Linked DNA regions of Stegostoma tigrinum. The protein of the gene in region 1 purifies or fractionates together with the protein of each later gene. This does not show direct contact. Links are inferred from orthologs where the notes say so. Each region holds a gene or a part of one and is shown on either strand. Other genes may lie near its edges.

What was found. The genes of interacting proteins can lie anywhere in the genome.
Region 2: the proteins of smc2 (region 1) and ncapg2 purify together in Homo sapiens (affinity purification with western blotting; 4 studies listed by BioGRID and IntAct, with this or other methods). This does not show direct contact. The link is inferred for Stegostoma tigrinum from reciprocal best matches to the Homo sapiens genes SMC2 and NCAPG2.

Annotation. Positions count from the first base shown.
Region 1 is NC_081356.1:31,466,684-31,477,434, forward strand, and holds the start of smc2 (structural maintenance of chromosomes protein 2), read right to left. Parts: upstream 4,572-10,751; 5' UTR 4,215-4,571; coding exon 4,047-4,214; intron 1,955-4,046; coding exon 1,805-1,954; intron 232-1,804; coding exon 109-231; intron 1-108. Other genes in the region: dnajc25 (dnaJ homolog subfamily C member 25), read left to right, coding at 9,570-9,857. UniProt on the Homo sapiens protein: Central component of the condensin complex, a complex required for conversion of interphase chromatin into mitotic-like condense chromosomes.
Region 2 is NC_081355.1:138,680,555-138,691,205, reverse strand, and holds the start of ncapg2 (condensin-2 complex subunit G2), read right to left. Parts: upstream 3,941-10,651; 5' UTR 3,831-3,940; intron 1-3,830. UniProt on the Homo sapiens protein: Regulatory subunit of the condensin-2 complex, a complex which establishes mitotic chromosome architecture and is involved in physical rigidity of the chromatid axis.

The sequences.
Region 1 (10,751 bases):
AGTGTTGGTGAATTAGTATGATGCGTTTTGGTGACAGAAAACAGGTGCTGTTGTGCAATGGTGATGGAGAAAGTGAATGGGTTACAATCCTCTGACATATGTACAAACCTGCATGATAAGGAAATGTGGATTGTTGACATTCAGACCGATTGAACAGAAGAGATCTTGCACTCTGGTGTTGTTTGCATTCACACCATTAATTAAGTACTTGTTTCTCCCACCAATTACCACCTGAAAAATGAATAGTTTTAATTGTTTGGCAGTAAAAAGACAATGATTCCAAAAACACAACACAAACTTTAAAAAAAATACAGAAATGCAGCCACTGGAGAAATTTATTAATCATTGTAAGCAGAGTCTTTCTAACATAGATTACAGAAAGCAGTACGACAAATTCCTCTAACTAGACAGTTTACGCGATTTAATACTTAAAATCTGATTTGAGCAGGCAGATATCAAGTTGAGAATTGCAACTTTTCACATTATTTATTGTCAATTTGTATAATATTATGCTTTACTTCGCACACGAGCACTAAATCATACAAATCTTGTGCCCAATAACCTTTACAAGTTTTCACTGAAGGCAACACATTATGCCATTAGCATGATATAATGAGGACGACGCACTAAATGACAGTATTATGTGTAATGCCAAAGTGAGTGCTGTCCAGTTATTGCCACATTTTTTGACAAGGCAAAAATCTGTTTCATCCTGGCAACAAACACATTCAATCATCAGAAAAGCAATGTCATGATGCTTTTTGAATTCCACAATCAGATTATGTCTGCAACTTTCATGGACTGAAATACTGACTTAAAATGGTACAGCAATCACTTGACTAAGTTTCAATGTAAATCGGACAGCAGACACTCAAACAGAGATGAACATTTTTATCCAAAAGCAAGGAAGACAGTCAACATCCTTCAAGACAGAGGCATGGAAATATTTTCATCTATTTTTATAGCACACCCAATATTTGCACATTGGAGAAGACAGGCCCTGCAATTACCAAGCTTGAAGTTCAATAAACCCAGATATGAAAATACACAAACAATTGCAACCAGCTGGAGAAAATTCTCTGTCTAATGCAAAGAAAAGATGTTAAGTGACACATAGGTTAAAAACAAAAATTAGAACAAAACTCCAAGGAGAATTGAGACTGCTGATATCCAAGACCATAAGTAAATAACCATGGTTTCAGGTTGAAACCTTACTTCAAGGACACTCAAAGTATTTTAGAACTATTTGTTCCTTTCAAGTTTCTTTTGAACAGGACACTATTTTTAACTTTACACACGAGTGTAAGTTTGGTATTGTGTTTTTATTTTTGTCAGGATCAGCAGGTAATAGGAATTGTTCTTTCACTGAAGAAAGTCTTATGATGTACTGCTTACTATTTTAACGGGAAAAAAGATAATAGCCTCATGCTAAAAAAAACCACAAAGCTTTAGTGTGACCAACCAGGGAGGTTGAAATAAAAAATTCTCACCATCTCACCTAGTCGTAACAACTTTGCACAAGAACCTCCCTGGCATTACAAGAGTGTGCAGAGAGCATCAGCTCTGATTCCACAACCGAGGAAGAACAAACTATTATCCTATATGACACTATATGACCTTAACTTGTGCCATATTTGCTTCACCCGCTGAGAATCAATCCCAGTTTGCAGGGGTGAGAATACAAAATGGACCAGTATCCAGTTCAAAAGGCATAAGACAGAAGAGTCAGGAAGAGACTCTTCTGAAGAAGTTTTCATTGTTAACATTGTGGAATATTAAATACGATAGAAATGTTGCAGAGTACCTGTCTCGAGACAGTAATTTCATCATGAGTCTCAAAGCCCAGAGGACTTTGTTTTTTGTCAGAGTTATCAAAGGTAATTGAGACAGTGGCTTTTGTAATCCCTGCTTGCCCATTTTTGTAGACCAAATCCTGCAGGTTGCTGGCTCGCACCTAACAGCAGACAACAAAACAAGGTTGCAATGAAAATTAGCATTAAAATACTCCAAAACCCAAAATGTCTGAAGCATTATATTGATTTCCAATTAAATAGTAGCCTAATATCAATAGTAAAAAGAACATTGGAATCTCAAAGATAATTGGGCTTAGAAAATACTATTAGGATTCTGAGTTAACATGGATTTATGAAAAGGAAATCTTTTTGACAAACTAGTTAAGATTTTATCGAGGATGTAATTCGCAGAATAGACAGAGTGTATTTGGATCTTCAGAAGGCTGTTAATAAGGTGCCATTAAGGAGGTTAGGAATCCAAATGAGATCACATCAGTTTGAAGGAATATACCGGCAAAGATTGAGGAATGATTGACATACAGAACACGGAACAAAATCAAACTGATCATTTTCTGGTTGCGGGAGGTGACTAGTACTACCACGATCAGTGCATGGGTCCCAGATTTCATAGTCTACATCAATAATTCGATGGACACTGAAATTTGCTGTTGACACAAACTAGATGGGAATATAAATGGGAAGGGGATGCAGAGATTTAGACAAGCTGAGTGGACAAGGTCACCACAGATGGAACATCATGTGGGAAAATGTTGTTACTTCACATTTAATTTTTCTACCAAAGTGAATATTTCTTAAATGGTTTCTTAATATTTCTTAAAGATCACTCCAGTCCTTCCTTCCCCCGCTCTCAGCAACAATATACTACTCTCCTCTGATATAGATGTGAATGTACAAGGTGCGGTTAGTAAGTTTGCAGATTACATCAAAATTTTAAATGTATGGACAACAAAGATGGTTACCTCAGAGTACAACAGGATCTTGATTAGATGAGCTACTGGGCCAAGGAGTGGCAGACAGAGTTTAATTTAGGTAAACATGAAATACTGCATTTTGGAAAAGCAAATTGGGGGTAGTATTTATACACTTAAATGGTACAGTCCTGGGCAGCGTTACTGAACAAAGATGCCTTGGAGTGCAGGTTCATAGTTCCTTGAAAGTGGAGTCCCAGGTGGATAGAATAGTGAAGAAGGTGTTTGATATCCTGTTTTTTATTGGTCAGAGCATTGGGTAAGAGAGTTGCGGCTGTACAAGACATTGGTTAGGCCACTTTTGCAATACTGGTATCCCTGATGTAGGAAAGAAGTTGTGAAACTTGAAAGGGTTCAGAAAAGATTTACAAGGATGGTACCATGGTTGCAGTTATTGGGAAAGGCAGAATAGGGTGAGACTATTTTCCCTGAAACATTGGAGGATGATGGGTGATCTTATAGAGGTTTTTAAAAAAAGGAACATGAATAGGGTGTATAGTCAAGGTGTTTTCCCTAGGTAGTTGAGTCCAAAACTAAAGGGCATAGATTTAAAGTGAGAGGGGCAAGATTTAAAATAGACCTCAGGGATAACTTTTTGCACACAGAGGGTGATGAATGTATGCAATGAGCTTCCAGTGGAGGTGGAAGAGGCTGGTACAATTACAACATTTAGAAGGCACAAAAACAGAAGCTGCTGTAAAAGCTCAGCAGGTCTGGCAGCATCTGTGAAGGGAAATCAGAGCTAACGTTTCGAGACCGGTGACCCTTCCTCAGAACTGCCCATTTCTGATTTCTCTTCACAGATGCTGATCTCTTCCAGCAACTTCTATTTTTGTTTCTCATTTACGGCATCCGCAGTTTCCATTTAAAAGGCAGCTGAATGAATAGAAAGTGTTTTCGGAGGGAGACGGGCCAAATGCTGACAAATGGGACTAAATTAATGCGGACGAGTTAGACCGAAGGATGTTTCTGTGTTGTATATCTCCATGACCCACTTCCATCCCCCTCCCCAAAGCAACCTCCTTTGTCCCCTTCCTTCGCACAACTTTACACCATCACCACTATTTCACTTCCTCAACTCAATCTTCCAACACCATCACCCCCTTCCCTTCCTCCTCTGAACCCCCATTTTTTAAAAATCTTTTCTCTCACCACCTAAAGTCCCTTGGGCCGCACTGAACCCTTCACATCCTACACCTTCTCCGATCGCCCCCTTCTCCTCCTAACTTGCGATCCCCATCTTCCCCCCACTTCCCTGTCGAACCTGGGACAAGTTACTGATGCCGAGGAGGAAGCAGATGGAGTCTAAGATGTTGGACTTGCCGCTGCCGTTTAGGCCGGTAATAGCATTAAAGAGCGGATCGAAGCCGTTAATCTCCGTCCGTTGCGCGTAAGACTTGAAGCCGTCGATGATGATGGATTTTATATACATTTTCCTTCACCGTGTTAAATTAAACTAAATCCGGAATTTCACTGCAACTCGGAGAGCTCCGGTTGCCTCCCAGCAGTTTAAATTTTGGCGCCAATCCCTGACCGTTAGTTCAATGGCCTCAGTTGGTTCAGTGGCGCTTTCACCTCAGTACCGCCATGCAATTTTAAGACAGAAAACGCAGCAGCTCAAGATTAATGTAATTATTGCGGCGGATTCCTGGCGTTTGGAGAATAATTAACGATTTGTGGAAAATTGACGATTTAGAGACGGCAGGCGCCTTTCGATGACGTTCCTGCCATGCGGGGCAGAACCCTGCGGTTTCTCTTAAAGGGGCCACGTCTTCACGCCCTAAATCACGTGGTCCCACCCGCGGGTGACAGAGGCCTTTGAAATGTCATCCCCCTCCAAACGTGAGACCCTCACTCGGTAAGGCCCCAGACCCGTAAAGTGGCCTCCTTAGCAGCACGCCGAGGTGAAGTCGATGCGTTCCAGCGAGTGTTCAAACCTCCCCCTCAAACATTTCTGTCTGCCCGACCCATCAAGTAAAACCTGTCCCGAGTGTGGTAAACTCTGCAGATTGGTTAGACTTAACAACCATTTCGCAACCCATTGGACTCAGATGAAAGAAGTGGCGTTCAGTCATGATCTTATTGAACGGCAGAACAAGTTTGAATGGCCTGCTGAGTCCTAAGTTCCACTGAACCATCAAAACATTACGGCACAGAAGGAGACCATTCAGCCCCTTGTGTCTCTGCTGAAAAAAAAACTAGCTACCCATGATCATGCCACTTTCCAGTACCTGATCCAGAACCTTGCAGGTTACACCACTTCAGGTGAATATCCAGGTACCTTGGTTCCTTTAAGGTATAACATTGAACCAGGCCATTCAGCCCAATGTCTGTGATCTGCTGCTTGTATATAAGTAATAATAGAGCATTCAGCTCCAGTAACGACATTTCGGGAAGTATGTGAGGGTGCAGAGCAGGTTTGCAAGAATGATTCCAGGAATAAGGGAATTTAGCGAGTATGTCAGATCGGAAGAACATCTGTTGTTCTACTTCAAGCAAAGGGCATCAAGGGGAGATTTGAGATCAGAGATAATAGGAACTGCAGATGTTGGAGAATCCAAGATAACAAAGTGTGGGGCTGGATGAACACAGCAGGCCAAGCAGCATCTTAGGAGCACAAAAGCTGAGATTTGACAGGTTGAAGATAAAGCAAATCTCACATCTGCGAATGATATAAGGGCATACCATTTTAAGGCTTTAGGCAAAAAATATCCACGGGGATGTGAGAAAGAATGTTTGCTTTTAACACAATTATTGAGTAGTCTTGAATCCCTGCTCCCAAGGGTGCTGGAAGTTGTCATGGTCATTGGGGGATATAAACTTTGCAAAGCTGCACAGACTCATTGGGCTGAATGCCTGTTTTGCTGTAATGACTCTATGAGCCTCCTCCCTCTCATCTTTATCTTCACCTTGTCAATATATCCTTATAATCTTCTTGCCTTAATGTCTATCTGGTGTCGCCTTAAACTCTTATTAATCACTTCAACATTGAAATAATAATGTGAGCCTCTTCTGACATTTAATGGGATAATGGCTGATCTATCCTCAATTCCTTTAACCCATCTCTTCCACATATAATAATATTATTGGCTAAAAAAGCATATCATCACCAAATTTAAAGTGAATAATTTGCTGTTTGTGGAAGAATTCCATACAGCCATATCGGGTCAAGTAACCAAATGCACCGAGAAAAAAGATTGGCTTTAAGGAATATATAAAAGGGGTAAAACTATTGCTTGATATTTATGGACCCTCCTCCTCTTGGATGTGATAGGACTGCAGAGCTTAGGTCTGATCCTTTGGTTGTGGGATCGCTTAGCTCTGTCTATCACTTGCTGCTTATGCTGTTTGACATGCAAGTTATCCTGTTTGATGGCTTCACAGGTTGACACCTCATCTTCAACTATGCCTGGTGCTGCTCTTGGCATACCTTCTTGCACTCTTCTTTGAATCAGGGTTGATCTTTTTGATTGTAATGGTTGAGTGGGGATATGTTAGGCCATGAGGTGACAGATTGTGCTGGTGTACAATTCTGCCGCTGTTGTTGGCCAGCAGCGCCACGTGGATGCCCAATCTTGAGTTGCTGGATCTGTGTGAAGTCTGTCCTATTTATCATGGTGATAGTGCTACACAATGTGATGGAGGTTATTCTCAATGTGAAGGTGGGACTTCATCTGCACAAGGACTGTGTGATGGCCACTCTTACTGATACTGTCATGGATAGATCAGCTGCAGCTGGCAGGTTGGTAAGGATGAGGTCATGTATGTTTTTTTCTCTCATTGATTTCCTCACTGCCTGCCACAGACCCAATCTAATAGCTATGTCCATTAGGACCTGACTAGCTCAATCAGTAGTACTGCTGCTCTTGGTGGTGGACATTGAAATCCCCCAATCACAGTACATTTTGTGCCTTTGCCATCGTCAGTGCTTCCTCCAACTGCTGTTCAACATGGAGGCGGTACCGATTCATCAGCTGAGGGAGGACAGTATGTGGTAATCAGCAGGAGGCCTTGCCCATGTTTGACCTGAAGCTATAAGACTTCATGGGGTCCAGAGTCAATGTTGAGGACTCCAAAAGCAACTCCCTCTCGACTGCATACCTCTGTGCTGCCACCTCTGCTGGGTCTGTCCTGCCAGTGAGACAGGATGTATCCAGGGATGTTGATGGTGGTGTCTGGGACATTGTCTGTAATGTATGCTTCTGTGAGTATAACTATGTCATGCTGTTGCTTAACTAGTCTGTGAGACAGCTCTCCCAATTTTGGCACTAGCCCCCAGATGTTAGCAAGGAGGACTTTGCAGGATCGTTAGGGCTGTTTCTGCCTTTGTCTGTTCCAATGCCTAGGTCAATGCCAGGTGATCTGTCCAGTTTCATTTCTTTGAGACTTTGTCATGATTGGTACAACTGAATGGCTTGCTAGACCATTTCAGAGGGCAGTTGAGAGTCAACCATATTGCTGTGGGTCTGGAGCCAGACCAGGTAAGGACGTTAGATTTCCTTCCCTGATAGGTTTTTCCGACAATTGACAATGTTTTCATGGTGATCAGTAGATGCTTAATTCCAGTTTATGTTTATTATATTCAAATTCCACCATATGCCATGGTGAGATTTGAACCCGGGTCCCTAGAACATTAGCTGGGTTCCTGGATTAACAGTCTAGTGATAATACCACTAGGCCATCGCCTACCCCTGTGATATTTTACGCTGTAGCATAATGTACTTCAACAAAGATTGATATAGCAAATAATGCCATTCTTTCGGGAGGGAAAAGACTACAGATAAATTGAAGTTATGTTCTAGAAATAACATTCTCAAAATGATTAAGCCAATATATCCTACCAGACCTTAACTGGGATGTTCATAGTACCATGAGGGAATCTTTGCGTGCAAAATATATGGCACAATATCTAGTGGGAATTTTCTTTTTATCTTTATTGTCACATTTTGGGATTCCCATCTGTTGTAGCTGGTACAAGGATTCTTAACTTCAGGCACAAGTGGTTTTGTTAGGGATTGAAAGCCAAATATTTCACAAAAGTGGAAATTGTCAGTATCCATTCTAAATGAAAATTGGTCTGGATTTTATAGAATAAAATGAGCCAGCTATTAAAAAGTTATGATAGTAAGGCAAACAAATAGGTTGTTAAATAATCCCAGTTTAAGTTCCGAGCTGTTCTGTTGAAATAATTGGGACCAGCTGAGATGCTGGCCTTTATTTCAAGTGGTCCAAAACATAAATGACTGAAAATTGAAATACGGTGTTGGAAGTCATAGTCAATACAGTGTGGAGCTGGAAGAACACAGCAGGTCACGCAGCATCAGGTGAACATGAAAGTTTTGGATCTGGACCCTTCATCAGGACTGGGGAAAGGGAGCTCAGAAATAGATAAAGGCAGGTGGGCTGGTGTTAGGTGAATGCAGGTAGGGGATGTAGAGTTTGGTCAATTGGAAGGGTGGAGCGGATCGGTGAGAAGTAAGAAGAACAGGTTGTGTCAAGTCAAGGACGCAGGAATGAGAGGGAGGGCTGGACATGGGATGAAGCCAGGGGTGGGGAGACTTTTGAAGCTCATGACTTCTATGTTGAAGCCATTGGATTGTAAATTCCCAAGGTGGAATATAAGGTGTTCTTCCTCCAATGCTCCTGTGGCCTCATTGTGATACTGGAGGAGGCCCAGAATGGACATGCTGCCAAGGGAGTGGGAAGGGGAGCTAAATTACATAAAACACTGGTTAGTTAAACTGCAATTACGCAGCACCTTTATTTTTAAAAAATCTTGGGTTGACTCAAAACATTTACAACTAATCAAGTATTTTGAAGTGTAGTGCTCTTGTAATGTGGGAAAGATTAGCCAACATGTTCACAGCAACGTCCTGTTAAAAACACCAAAATGACCAGAACTCGGTAAACTTAGTGTGAAGCTCGAGGAACACAGAAGGTCACGCAAATGTCAGCTACTGGCACCTGTTCTGAAGAAGGGTCCTAACTCAAAACAACAATTTTCCTGCTTTTCGGATGCTGCCTGTCCTGCTGTGTTCCTTCAGTTCCACACCTTGTTATCTCAGACTCCAGCATCTGCAGTTCTTGCTGTCTCCAAATGACCAGAACTGGTTTTTTTTGTAATGTTCATTGAGGCTAACGGCTGGATAGAACACAGGAGAAACCTACCCTGCAAACCTTTAGAATAGTTCTATCAGATATTACATATTCGTAGAACAGAATATCTGTGAAGTGAATATGTAATATCTGATAGAACTACTCAACATCTCAATGAAAGTTGGTGCATCCAAGTGTAGTCATCCCTCAAAACTATAGAAGTTTTTTTGTGATCAATTCTCTGGAGTAGGGAGCTTGAACTCATAGACTCCTGAAACTGGAATGCAAGTACAGCCTGTTAACATCATGAGATAGCACCATAAGCTTCAATCTTATTAATTATACATTTGGAAAACATTTAAATTGAAATAAGATCTAGGAACAGTTGTTAATGATTTTAAAAACAGGAATCGAAGAAGTATTTTAATGGGCGGAAGATCGCAGGGCTTTACTCGGGGATCGTGAAGGGTAGGAGGAGAAATGATGAGAAACAATGGGCCATTCAAAGGGCTAGTATGGACACGATGGCCTGAACGAACTCACCGTGAAGAACGGTCAGTGACGATTACCCGCGCGAACAAATAGCCGTTAGGGTTTGAAATGATGACGTTCATCATACGCGACCACCAACGTAAGGTGCTGTGCCGAGTTACTGCGCATGTGTGATGACGTTGGTTGCCAGTTCGCTGACATGGCGACGGCGAGCCGCCGGTTTGTAGTGGGGTTGCTGTTTCGACTTTGTGCCGTTTTCTTCACCCTCCTGGGCCAGGTCGATGGCTTGGTGGAAGGCTTGTACTGCGGTGCTGTCTCTTGCTATGATGTCCTTGGAGTGTCGAGGGATGCTGGCAAAAGCGAGATCGCCCGCGCTTACCGCCAGCTGGCCCGGCGCTTCCACCCTGACCGCTACCGGCCCACGGAAGTCGGGGAGAACCCCGAGGAAAAGTTCCTGCTGGTTGCCACCGCCTATGAAACACTGAAGGTGTGGGTTGGGCGCACGAAGCATCTTTTGTGGTGTGGGGCATGTGGGTGCAACAGGAACATTGTTAGAGGATATGAGAGTTGGTGGGAGTGATCTTGGTGGCGTTGATAGTATTGAATAGGCTTGTTTGCAAATGTCAGCTACTGGCAAATGGAAACCTGCATCTCTGATTACTGTGATTTTTAATTTTAAAATGTGTAGGACATTAAATGCTTGGATGAAAAGCAAACTGTTTTGGTCTACATGGAAGAATGGTAACTGTCACTGACAACTTTTCCTAGGTTAACTATTCAAAAACACTTCACGCAAGACTTAGAACTGCTAATCTTATTTCTAAACGCATCATTTGTGCAGTTACTGTCAAAGGATAAAATTATAAAATGTATATGTTTATCTGCTGTTCATGGTCATGAGTTTCCTGAGTGACTTTAAAATTGTTTCTAGCTTGGTGCTGTTTTATCACACTTTCTAGTTGAAAAATGTCAGTGTAAAATTTGGCAAATTTCTGACCTTGCATACATTTGAGGTTCTGAGCAAGAGTTGAGGAACTTCTCTGGAATAGAGGACGACGTGTGAAGTTGCAACATTGACTGTCTTATCTACAACAGACATATTTAACGTATCCGGAGATGAGAGCAGATGCTATAATATTGGGCAACAAATGTATGCATACGTGTCAAGTTTTCTCCTCCATGCCTCTAGTTTCTTGCAAATACTGGGGGCTTTTCTTGGAGTCTATGGAACCCGGGTACCTTCTGGTACATCCCTGAGGTGGTTTATTTACAAGTGCTGATTTGTCATTTGATTTGGATAAGAAAAAAAGCAAAAATTGTCCATAGCTGCAGTCATTGAATGGAGGTCATAATGTGACCATTAGCCCATGTGTCAGAAGAT
Region 2 (10,651 bases), on another chromosome or scaffold:
TGGGAACTGCAGATGCTGGAGAATCCAAGAAAACAAAGTGTGGAGCTGGATGAACACAGCAGGCCCAGCAGCATCTCAGGAGCACAAAAGCTGACGTTTCAGGCCTACACCCTTCATCAAAGAGGGGGATAGGGAGAGCGTTCTGGAATAAATAGGGAGCGAGGGAGAGGCGAACCAAAGATGGAGAGAAAAGAAGATAGGTGGAGAGGAGAGTATAGGTGGGGAAGTAGGGAGGAGATAGGTCAGTCCAGGGAAGACGGACAGGTCAAGGAGGTGGGATGAGGTTAGTAGGTAGGAAATGGAGGTGCAGCTTGAGATGGAAGGAAGGGATGGGTGAGAGGAAGAACAGGTTAGGGAGGCAGAGACAGGCTGGGCTGGTTTTGGGATGCAGTGGGGGGAGGGAATGAGCTGGGCTGGTTGTGTGATGCAGTGGGGGGAGGGGACGAACTGAGCTGGTTGTGGGATGCGGTGGGGGAAGGGGAGATTTTGAAGCTGGTGAAGTCCACATTGATACCATTGGGCTGCAGGGTTCCCAAGCGGAATATGAGTTGCTGTTCCTGCAACCTTTGGGTGGCATCATTGTGGCACTGCAGGAGGCCCATGATGGACATGTCGTCTGAGGAATGGGAGGGGAAGTTAAAATGGTTTGCGACTGGGAGGTACAGTTGTTTATTGCGAACCGAGCAGAGGTGTTCTGCAAAGCAGTCCCCAAGCCTCCGCTTGGTTTCCCCAATGTAGAGAAAGCCACACCGGATACAATAGATACAGCAAACCACATTGGCGGATGTGCAGGTGAACTTCTGCTTAATATGGAAAGTCATCTTGGGGCCTGGGTTAGGGGTGAGGGAGGAGGGGTGGGGGCAAGTGTAGCACTTCCTGCGGTTGCAGGGGAAGGTGCCGGGTGTGGTGGGGTTGGAGGGGAGTGTGGAGCGAACAAGGGAGTCACGGAGAGAGTGGTCTCTCCAGAAGGCAGACAAGGGTGGGGATGGAAAATTATCTTGGGTGGTGGGGTCGCATTGTAGATGGCAGAAGTGTCGGAGGATGATGCGTTGTATCCGGAGGTTGGTGGGGTGGTATGTGAGAACAAGGGGGATCCTCTTTGGGCGGTTGTGGCGGGGGCGGGGTGTGAGGGATGTGTTGCGGGAAATGCGGGAGACACGGTCAAGGGCGTTCTCAACCACTGTGGGGGGCAAGTTGCGGTTCTTGAAGAACTTGGGCATCTGGGATGTGCGGGAGTGGAATGGCTCATCCTGGGAGCAGATGCGGCGGAGGCGGAGGAATTGGGAATAGGGGATGGAATTTTTGCAGGAGGGTGGGTGGGAGGAAGTGTATTCTAGGTAGCTGTGGGAGTCGGTGGGCTTGAAATGGACATCAGTAGCTAGCTGGTTGCCTAAGATGGAGACTGAGGGGTCCAGGAAGGTGAGGGATGTGTTGGAGATGGCCCAGGTGAACTTGAGGTTGGGGTCGAAGGTGTTGGTGAAGTGGATGAACTGTTCGAGCTCCTCTGGGGAGCAAGATGCGGCGCTAATACAGTCATCAATGTAACGGAGAAAGAGGTGGGGTTTAGGGCCTGTGTAGGTGCGGAAGAGGGACTGTTCCACGTAACATATAAAGAGACAGGCATAGCTGGGGCCCATGCAGGTGCCCATGGCCACCCCCTTTGTCTGTAGGAAGTGGGAGGAATCGAAAGAGAAGTTGTTGAGGGTGAGGACGAGTTCGGCTAGGCGGATGAGGGTGTCGGTGGAGGGGGAATGGTCAGGCCTGCAGGAAAGGAAGAAGCGGAGGGCCTTGAGGCCATCTGCATGAGGAATACAGGCGTATAGGGACGGGACGTCCGTGGTGAAAATGAGGTGTTGGGGGCCAGGGAATTGGAAGTTCTGGAGGAGGTGGAGGGTGTGGGTGGTGTCACTGACATAGGTGGGGGGTTCCTGGACGAAAGGGGAGAAAATGGAGTCCAGATAGGTGGAATCAATGTGGACTTCACCAGCTTCAAAATCACCCCTTCTCCCACCGCATCCCACAACCAGCCCAGTTCATTCCCTCCCCCCACTACATCCCAAAACCAGCCCAGCCTGACTCTGCCTCCCTAACCGGTTCTTCCTCTCACCCATCCCTTCCTCCCACCCCAAGCCGCACCCCCATCTACCTACTAACCTCATCCCACCTCCTTGACCTGTCCGTCTTCCCTGGACTGACCTATCCCCTCCCTACCTATACTCTCCTCTCCACCTATCTTCTTTTCTCTCCATCTTCGGTCCGCCTCCCCCTCTCTCCCTATTTATTCCAGAACCCTCTCCCCATCCCCCTCTCTGATGAAGGGTCTAGGCCCGAAACGTCAGTTTTTGTGGTCCTGAGATACTGCTTGGCCTGCTGTGTTCATCCAGCTCCACACTTTGTTATCACTGGACTCATGCCTGGGATGAAGGGCATATTTATTTAGAAACAGATTAGACCAATATCTAATTAGAGTTCAGAAAATGTGATGCGATCTTTTCAAACATACAAGATTTTGAGGCAATTGCACTGGATGCATATGTGGACGACGTTGTTTTCTCTTGGGGTTGAGATCAAAAAGTACAGTTTAAGAATAAGAGGTCATCCCTTTAAGACAAGGATAAGTAAAAATTTCTCTCAAAAGAATTGTTAATGTAGGGACAGATAGTGGGAACTGCTGGCACTGGAGAGTCTGAAAATACAAGGTGTAGAGCTGGATGACCACAGCAGGCCAAGCAGCATCAGAAGAGCAGGAAATCTGACATTTCGGGTCTAGACCATTTCTAAAGAAGGGTCTAGACCCAAAATGTCAGCTTTCCTATTCCTCTGATGCTGCTTGGCCTGCTGTGTTCATCCAGCTCTTACACCTTGTTATCTATGTTAATGCGGGGAGTTCTCTTTCCCTGGAAGGCAGTGAATGCTGGGTGTTCAATCTCTAATAACAACAAAATTAGAGGTTTCAGGAAAAGCTCAGCTGGTTTGGCAGCGTCCGTGAAGAACAAAAAAATCAGTTAACGTTTCAGGTCCGGTGACGCTTCCTCAGAACTGTTCTGAGGAAGGGTCACCGGATCCAAAATGTTACATGTGATCTTTTTTCTTCACAGATGCTGTCAGATCTGCTGAGCTTTTCCAGAAACCTCTTTTTGTTCCTGATTTACAGCATTCGCAGTCCTTTTGGTTTTCAATCTCTAATGAAACTAACAGATCATGCAATGCAAGTTCCTCCCCAAGACTCTCGTTACCCTGACTTGGAAATATGTCACCATTCTTTCAAATGCAGCTGAATTAAAATCCTGGAATACCACTCCTAACCGTGCTGAACATAGCTACAACCCAAGGACTGCAGATATTCAAGGAGGCCACTCACCACCATCTTCTCCGAGGCAATTAGGAATGGGCAATAAATGCTGGCCTAACTAATGACACTCACATCCCTTGAAGGAATATACATTTTTTTTAAAAAATCCCCTGCTCAGTTTTAGTAGCATAGAGCTTTATTGGTTCATTGAAATCAGAATTTACACATTCTTACATGTCAACACCAGCCCTCAAACTCAATCTGTTCCTGTGATACGTTAAATTGCGATTTCTACTGCAGGGAAGATACGCATTTGAAAAACACAAACGATATACAAACACGCAGAAGTTCCTGAGGCACGATCCAATTTACACAAGAAGTCATTTGATACCCACACATACTAAAAACGAGTTACTGAACCTCTGCTCATTCCCCAAGTCGCTCTTGTCACTCGCGGCAGATTGGGACACAACAGTCCTCATGTCCTGAGAACAGAAGTGTATTACACAACCGTTCTTGTTTTTCCTTTTGATCTTACCTGGGAATAAGATGCACCGAAACCAGCGTCACGTTTTTTTTGTATTTTCTTGACGTTTGCCTGCAGAAGGAAAGGGAGCCAAAATGCGCGCGCTATCACCAGCAGACCATCAGTACTGCGCATGCGTGCGTTCAAACCGGGCGCGCGGATGAGGCCCCGCCCCTAACTGTCGCCGGGTGGCTGAGGGAGGCCCCGCCCCTACAAGTCACCAAGCAACACGGGGAGGCTCCGTCCCGAACTGGGAGCTACGTCAATGAAGTGCCTGTGGGGGTAGGGGATGACGTTTCGTGCTGAGACGCTTCATCAGAAAAGGGGGATGGGAAGAAGATTCTGAAATAAATAGGGAGAGAGGGAGAGAGGGGGAGGCGGACTGAAGATAGATAGAGGAGAAGATACGTGGAGGCGAGAGGTGGGATGAGGTTAGTAGGTAGGAAATGGAGGTGCGGCTTGAGGTGTGAGGAGGGGGATGGGTGAGAGGGAAAACAGGTTTGGCAGGTGGGGACAAGCTGGGCTAGTTTTGGGAGTCGGGGGGGAGGGGAAATCCACATTGATACCATTGGGCTGCAGGGTTCCCAAGCGGAATATGAGTTGCCATTCCTGCAACCTACGGGTGGCATCATTATGGCACTGCAGGAGGCCCAGGATGGACACCAGCCCAGCTCATCCCTCCCTCCCTAACCTGTTCTTCCTCTCACCTATCCCCTCCTCCCACCTCAAGCTGTACCTCCATTTCCTATCCACTAACCTCATCCTGCCCCCTTGACCTGTCTGTCCTCCCTGGACTGACCTATCCCCTCCCTACCTCCCCCCCCCCCCCCCCATACTCTCCTCTCCACCTATCTTCTCCTATATCCATCTTTGGTCTGCCTCCCCACCCCCCCCTTCCATTTATTTTAGAATCCTCTCCCCATCCCCCTTTTCTGATGAAGGGTCTAGGCCTGAAACGTCAGCTTTTGTGTTCCTAAGATGCTGCTTGGCCTGCTGCGTTCATCCAGCCCCATGCTTTGTTATCTTGGATTCTCCAGCATCTGCAGTTCCCATTATCTCTGAAGTAGAAGTGTTGTTGTGCTAACCACAGTACAGTGCTTGTAACAAGTTCAAACAAAGCAAACTAGAGAGCTGCTGATAAAAATGACATTCCAGACTGACCATGGCTGAAGCTGGAAGTATGTCTCATTATGCTAACAGAAGCTAATTATCTTGTCATGGTAGATTATTGAATTGAATCATTTGTTGTTGTGTGTATTCAATATAAAATACAATGAAAAGTTTATACTGTCTCTATGAATAGGTGCCATTTTCATTAACCTAAAATAATATGTAAAAAAATAACTTAGAGTCCTCCTTTTCCTTCCCTGCTATTACAGTCCCACTCTGAACTTCACCAGCTGCTCCATTATGTTTAGTTAATTGCTGTGTTGCAAGCACTTATCCCTGTAATACCCCAGTAGTCACTGGCTGACAATTGGAAAATGACCTATTTATTAATACTCTTTGTTTCCTGTCTGCCAACCAGTTCTCCTGCTCCTAAGATGCTGCTAGCTTTCTTGCTCCTAGGATGCTGCTTGGCCTGCTGTGTTCATCCAGCTCAACACCTTGTTATCTCAGATTCTCCAGCATCTGCAGTTCCTATTATCTCCATCCACATCAGTATGCTATTCCTATCCTATATCCTAATTTTATGTGGGACCTTATCTAAAGGCTCTGCAACCACATTCACTTGGTCCACTTATCAACTGTACTCATTACATCTTGAAAAATTCCACTAGATCTTTCAAACATGATTTTCATTTCATAGAGAGGCCCTCATGAAGGCCCTGGTCAAGAAAAAGAAAGGGGCATATGACATGTATAGCCAGCTGAGATCAAGTGAATTAGTGGAGGAGTATAGGATCTGTCGGAGGACACTGAAGGGACGAATCAGGAGGGCTAACTGGCATCAAAAGATGGCTTTGGTAAGGTAACAGAGAATCCCAAGAAATTCTACAAGTACGTGATGGACAAAAGAGTGAATAGGAACACTTAAAGGTTAAGATCAACAAGGTTGTCTGAGTGTGCAGCTGCAAGAGATGGGTGAGATCCTGAATGAATATTTCTAATTAGCATTTACCATCGAGAAAGGTGTAGATGCTAAGAAATTTGGGAAAATAAACAGTGATGTCTTTAAAAGAGTCCACATTATAGAAGAGGAGGTGCTAGAAATTTTAAAATGCATTAAATAGATAAATCCCTGGGACGAGATGAAGTGTATCCCAGGATTTTGTGGGAGGCGAGGGACAAAATTGCAGGCCCTAACAGAAACATTTGTATCATCAATAGCCATGGGTGTGGTATCAGAAGATTGGAGGTGGCTGATATTGTGTCATTATTTAAGAAAGGCAATAGGAAAATGTTTGGTAATTATAGACCAGCAAAAGTCTGTGGTGAGTCAGTTGTTCAAAAGCATTCTGAGGGATAGGATCGACGGGTATTTGAAGAGGCAAGGACTCACCACGGTTAGTCAGCATGGCTTTGTGCATGGGAAATCGTGTTTCATGAATTTGATTGAATTTTTTGAAAGGGTGACAAAGAAAGTAGATGACATTGGTGCAATTGATATTGTCAGCATGGGTTTTAGCTAAGCCTTTGACAAGGTACCACATGGTGGATTGTGGAGTAAGGTTAATTCTCACACTCAGCTAGCTTAATTGGCTTGATGGTAGGAGACAGAGTATGGTGGTAAAGGGTTTTTTTCTCACACTGGAGGCCTGTGACCAGCAGTGTATTAAAGGGATCAGTGCTGGGTCAACTGTTATTCTTCACTTATTTAGCAATTTGGATGAGAATTTTGGAAGTATGGTTAATAGGTTTGTGGATGACATCAAGATTGGTGGTATAGTGGACAGTGAAAAAGGTTATCAAGGAATAAAGCAATGTCTTGATCACCTGGGCTGAGGAATAACAGATGGAGTTTAATTTAGATAAATGGAAGGTATTGCATTTTGGTAGGTCAAATCAGGGCAGGACTTAGAGTCAATGGTAGGGCACTGGGGAGTGTTATAGAACCAAGAGATCGAGGGGTACAGGTTCATAACTGCTTGGAAGTGGAGAGACAAGTAGACAGGGTGGTGACAAAGGCTTTTGACCTGCTTGCTTTCATCAGTCAGTGCATTGAGTATAGGAGTTGGGGCATCTTGTTGCAGTTGTACATGATGGTGATGAGGTCTCATTTGGAGTACTGAATCCAGTTCTGGTCGCCCTACAATAGAAAGGATATTATTAAACTAGAAAGAGTGTGGAAAAATTTAGAAGAATGCTACCTGGACTGGAAGGTTTGCGTAATAGAGAGATGCTGGATAGGCTGGGACTGTTTTTCCTGGAGTGTAGGAAACTGAGGGATGACCTTTTAGAGGTTTATAAAGTCATGAGAAGCATAGACAAGGTAAATAGATAATGTATTTTCCTCTTGGTAGGGGAATTTAAAGCTAGAGGGCATAGGTTTAAGGTGAGAGGGGAGAGATACAAGAGAGTCCAGAGGGATCATTTTTTTCACACAGATGGTCTGGGAAACAGGCTGGTGGAGGCAAGTCCAATTTCGTCATTTAACAAACACTTGAACAGATACATGGATTGTATAGGTATAGAGGAACATAGACAAAATGCAGGCAAATAGAACTAGTTTAATTGTAAAAACTAGTTTAATTGTAAAACAAAAATGGACAAGTTAGGCCAAAGGGCCTATACTCATGCAGTAAACCTCAATGACTGTGAAAAGATAGGAAAAAGAGAGTGTGTATGGATGGGCACTTCTCCGATTGGAGATAAATTGAAGGTGGTGTTCATAGGGATCGGTGTTGAGACCCTTGTTTTTTTTCCTGATTTGGAAATGAGTGTTGATGGCAAAATCTCTAAATTTTGCAGACAATACTAATCTTGGGAAGTATATTGAAGATGATGCTGAGCGACTTCAGGGACATTGACAAGTTGGCCAATTGGGCAGATGCCTGGCAGATAAATTTTAAAAGTGTGAGTTAATCATTTTACAGAAGAAACAGAGACAATACAGGCTCAATGGTACAACTTTGAGGGGAGTACAGGATTAGAGGAAACTTGAGGTTCACAGATTCTCTGAAGCTGGCCAGGCAAGTTGAAATATTTGTGAAGGAGGCTTATCGGAAATTTACTGCAATGATACCAGGAATGAGGAATTTTTGATACAAGGAAAGACTAGTGAAATTGGGCTTATTCTCCTTGGAGCAGAGAATGTTGAAAGGGAACCTTATTGAAGTGTTCAATATTATGAACAATCCTGATAGGGTAAAGTGGATATTTTGTTTCCAGAGTTAGTATTTCAGTAACTAGGGATCATAATTTCAAGATAGTTCAAACGAAGACTGAGATGAGAAGAAGCCTCTTTATTCAGAGAGTTATCTCTCTAACCTTTGATCCCATTTGCCCCAAATGCTATATCTAGTCTCCTCTTGAATACGTTCAGTGTTTTGGTATCAACTACTTCCTGTGGTAATGAACTCCACAGGCTCACCACTCTTTGGGTGAAGAAATGTTTCCTCATCCTAAATCATCTATCCCGAATCTTCAGACTGTAATCCCTGGTTCTGGACATAATCACCATCAGGACCATCCTCCCTGCATCTATCCTGTCCAGTCCTGTTTTTATAAGTCTTTGTGATATCCCCCCTCATTTATCTGAACTCCAGTGAAAACAATCCCAGCCTAGTCAATCTCTCCTCATACGTTAGACCCATCATTCCCAGAATCAGCCTGCTATACCTTCGCTGCACTCCCTTGAGAGTATGAGCATCCCTTCTCAGAACAGGAGACCAAATCTGCACACAATATTCCAGGTGTGGTCTCACCAAGGTCCTGTACAACTGCAACAACATATCCCCGCTCCTGTACCGAACCTCTGGCAATGAAGGCCAACGTACCATTTGCCTGCTTTACCACCTGCTGCACCTTCATGCTTGCCTTCAGTGACTGGTGCACAAGGATACCCAGGCCCTGCTGCACACTGCCCTCTCCCAATTTACAGCCATTCAGGTAGTAATTGGCCTTCTTATTTTTGCTTCCAAAGTGAATAACCTCACATTTATCCAAATTATACTGCATATGCCATTGATTTGTGCACTCAACCAACCTGTCGAAATCATTCTGGATGATCTCTGCATCCTCGTCACAGTTTACTCTCCCACTCAACTTGATATCATCTGCAAACTTGGAGATGTTACATTTTGTTCCCTCATCCAAATCATTAATATATATTATGAATAGCTGGGGTCCCAATACTAATCCCTGTGTCACCTTACTAATTACTGCCTACCATTGTGAAAAGGATCCATTAATTCCTACTCTTTGTTTTGTTCTGCCAACTAGTTTCCTACCTCCACTCCCATGCACTTTAATCTTACACATTAATCTCTTATGTGGGATTTTGTCAAACACTATGTGAAAATCCAAATATACTACATCGACTGGCTTCCCCACATCTACTCTACTAGTTACATCTTCATAGAATTCCGACAGGTTTGTCAAGCATGATTTCCCCTCCATAAATCCATGCTGACTCTGTCTGATCCTGCCACTGCTTTCTAAATGCTCTGTTAAAAGTCCTTGACAATGGATTCAAAAATTTTCCCCGTTACCAATGTTAAACTCACTGGTCTGTAATTCCCTGTTTTCCCTCGACCTGAGGGGCAACCTTTTCACACTGAGAGTGGTTTGTATGTGGAATGAACTGCCAGAGGAAGTGGTTGATCCAGATACAGTAACATCATTTAAAAGACATTGGGACAGGTAGATGAACAGGAAAGGTTTGGAGGGAAATGAGCCAAATGCAGCCAAGTGGGACCGGTTTTATTTGGGAAACCTGGTCAGCATGGTACTAGTTGGACCAAAGGGTCTGTTTCCCTGTTGTCTTAATGACTGAAAATCCACAATTCGTCCGATCATATCACTGCTTTCCACGCGCTCTGCTATTAAATCTTTAGTAATGGACACCAGTATTTTCCCTGCATCTGATACAGAGGAAAACAAAATAATAGTGTTACAGCATTACAGCCAGCCTAAAGTATACTGAAATGTTTTGTTAATCCCTTTGTAACCCTGCCTGTATGTGATTGTGGTTTCCAATAAAGTAAGCATTTTCCCAGAAAGAGTCACTGTCATCATAGAAGATATTTTAAAAATCTCCCCTTAATAACATTACAATAATTAATGATAATATTCCTTAGATGTTTTCAATGAAGACTTGAATTTATTTTCTATAACATGGATTCTGGATATTTTAAGTGAGACATGGTGAGCGAAGATTGCAGTTTTGCTATCTTGGCTACAGGTTTTTCACAGATTGCAAAGAAAGGCATTAAAACAAAATTAGCAGCCTACTTTCAGAGCAAGAAAAAAATCAGGTGGAGAAGTTGTGACTTTCCTGGAAAGAGATGGTACGTTTCATTTTTTGTATTCTGTTACTCGGGAGTTGTGTAAATTGGGAGCAATTTGTGGTAAATAAACTTGAATGAAATTATCAGTTACCATTAAAAATTTGCGAGCAAGTGCTCATGAAGAGAACACGAAACTTAAAATGGAAGTTTACCTAAACCAAAACTGGATCAGTCTTTGAGTTACTTTCAAGTTTTTTTTCATACCGTTGTATCATTTTCATACTAATATAAGTTTAGACACATTTCTTGAAATTCCAAAAGAGAAAAAATTTTATTTTGAAGTTTTTTTTATAAGAATCACAAAATCACTGAATCGATGGTGGTGAGCTGCCATCTTGTACTGCTGCAGCTCAGGTGCTGCATTTAGAGCCACAACGTCTT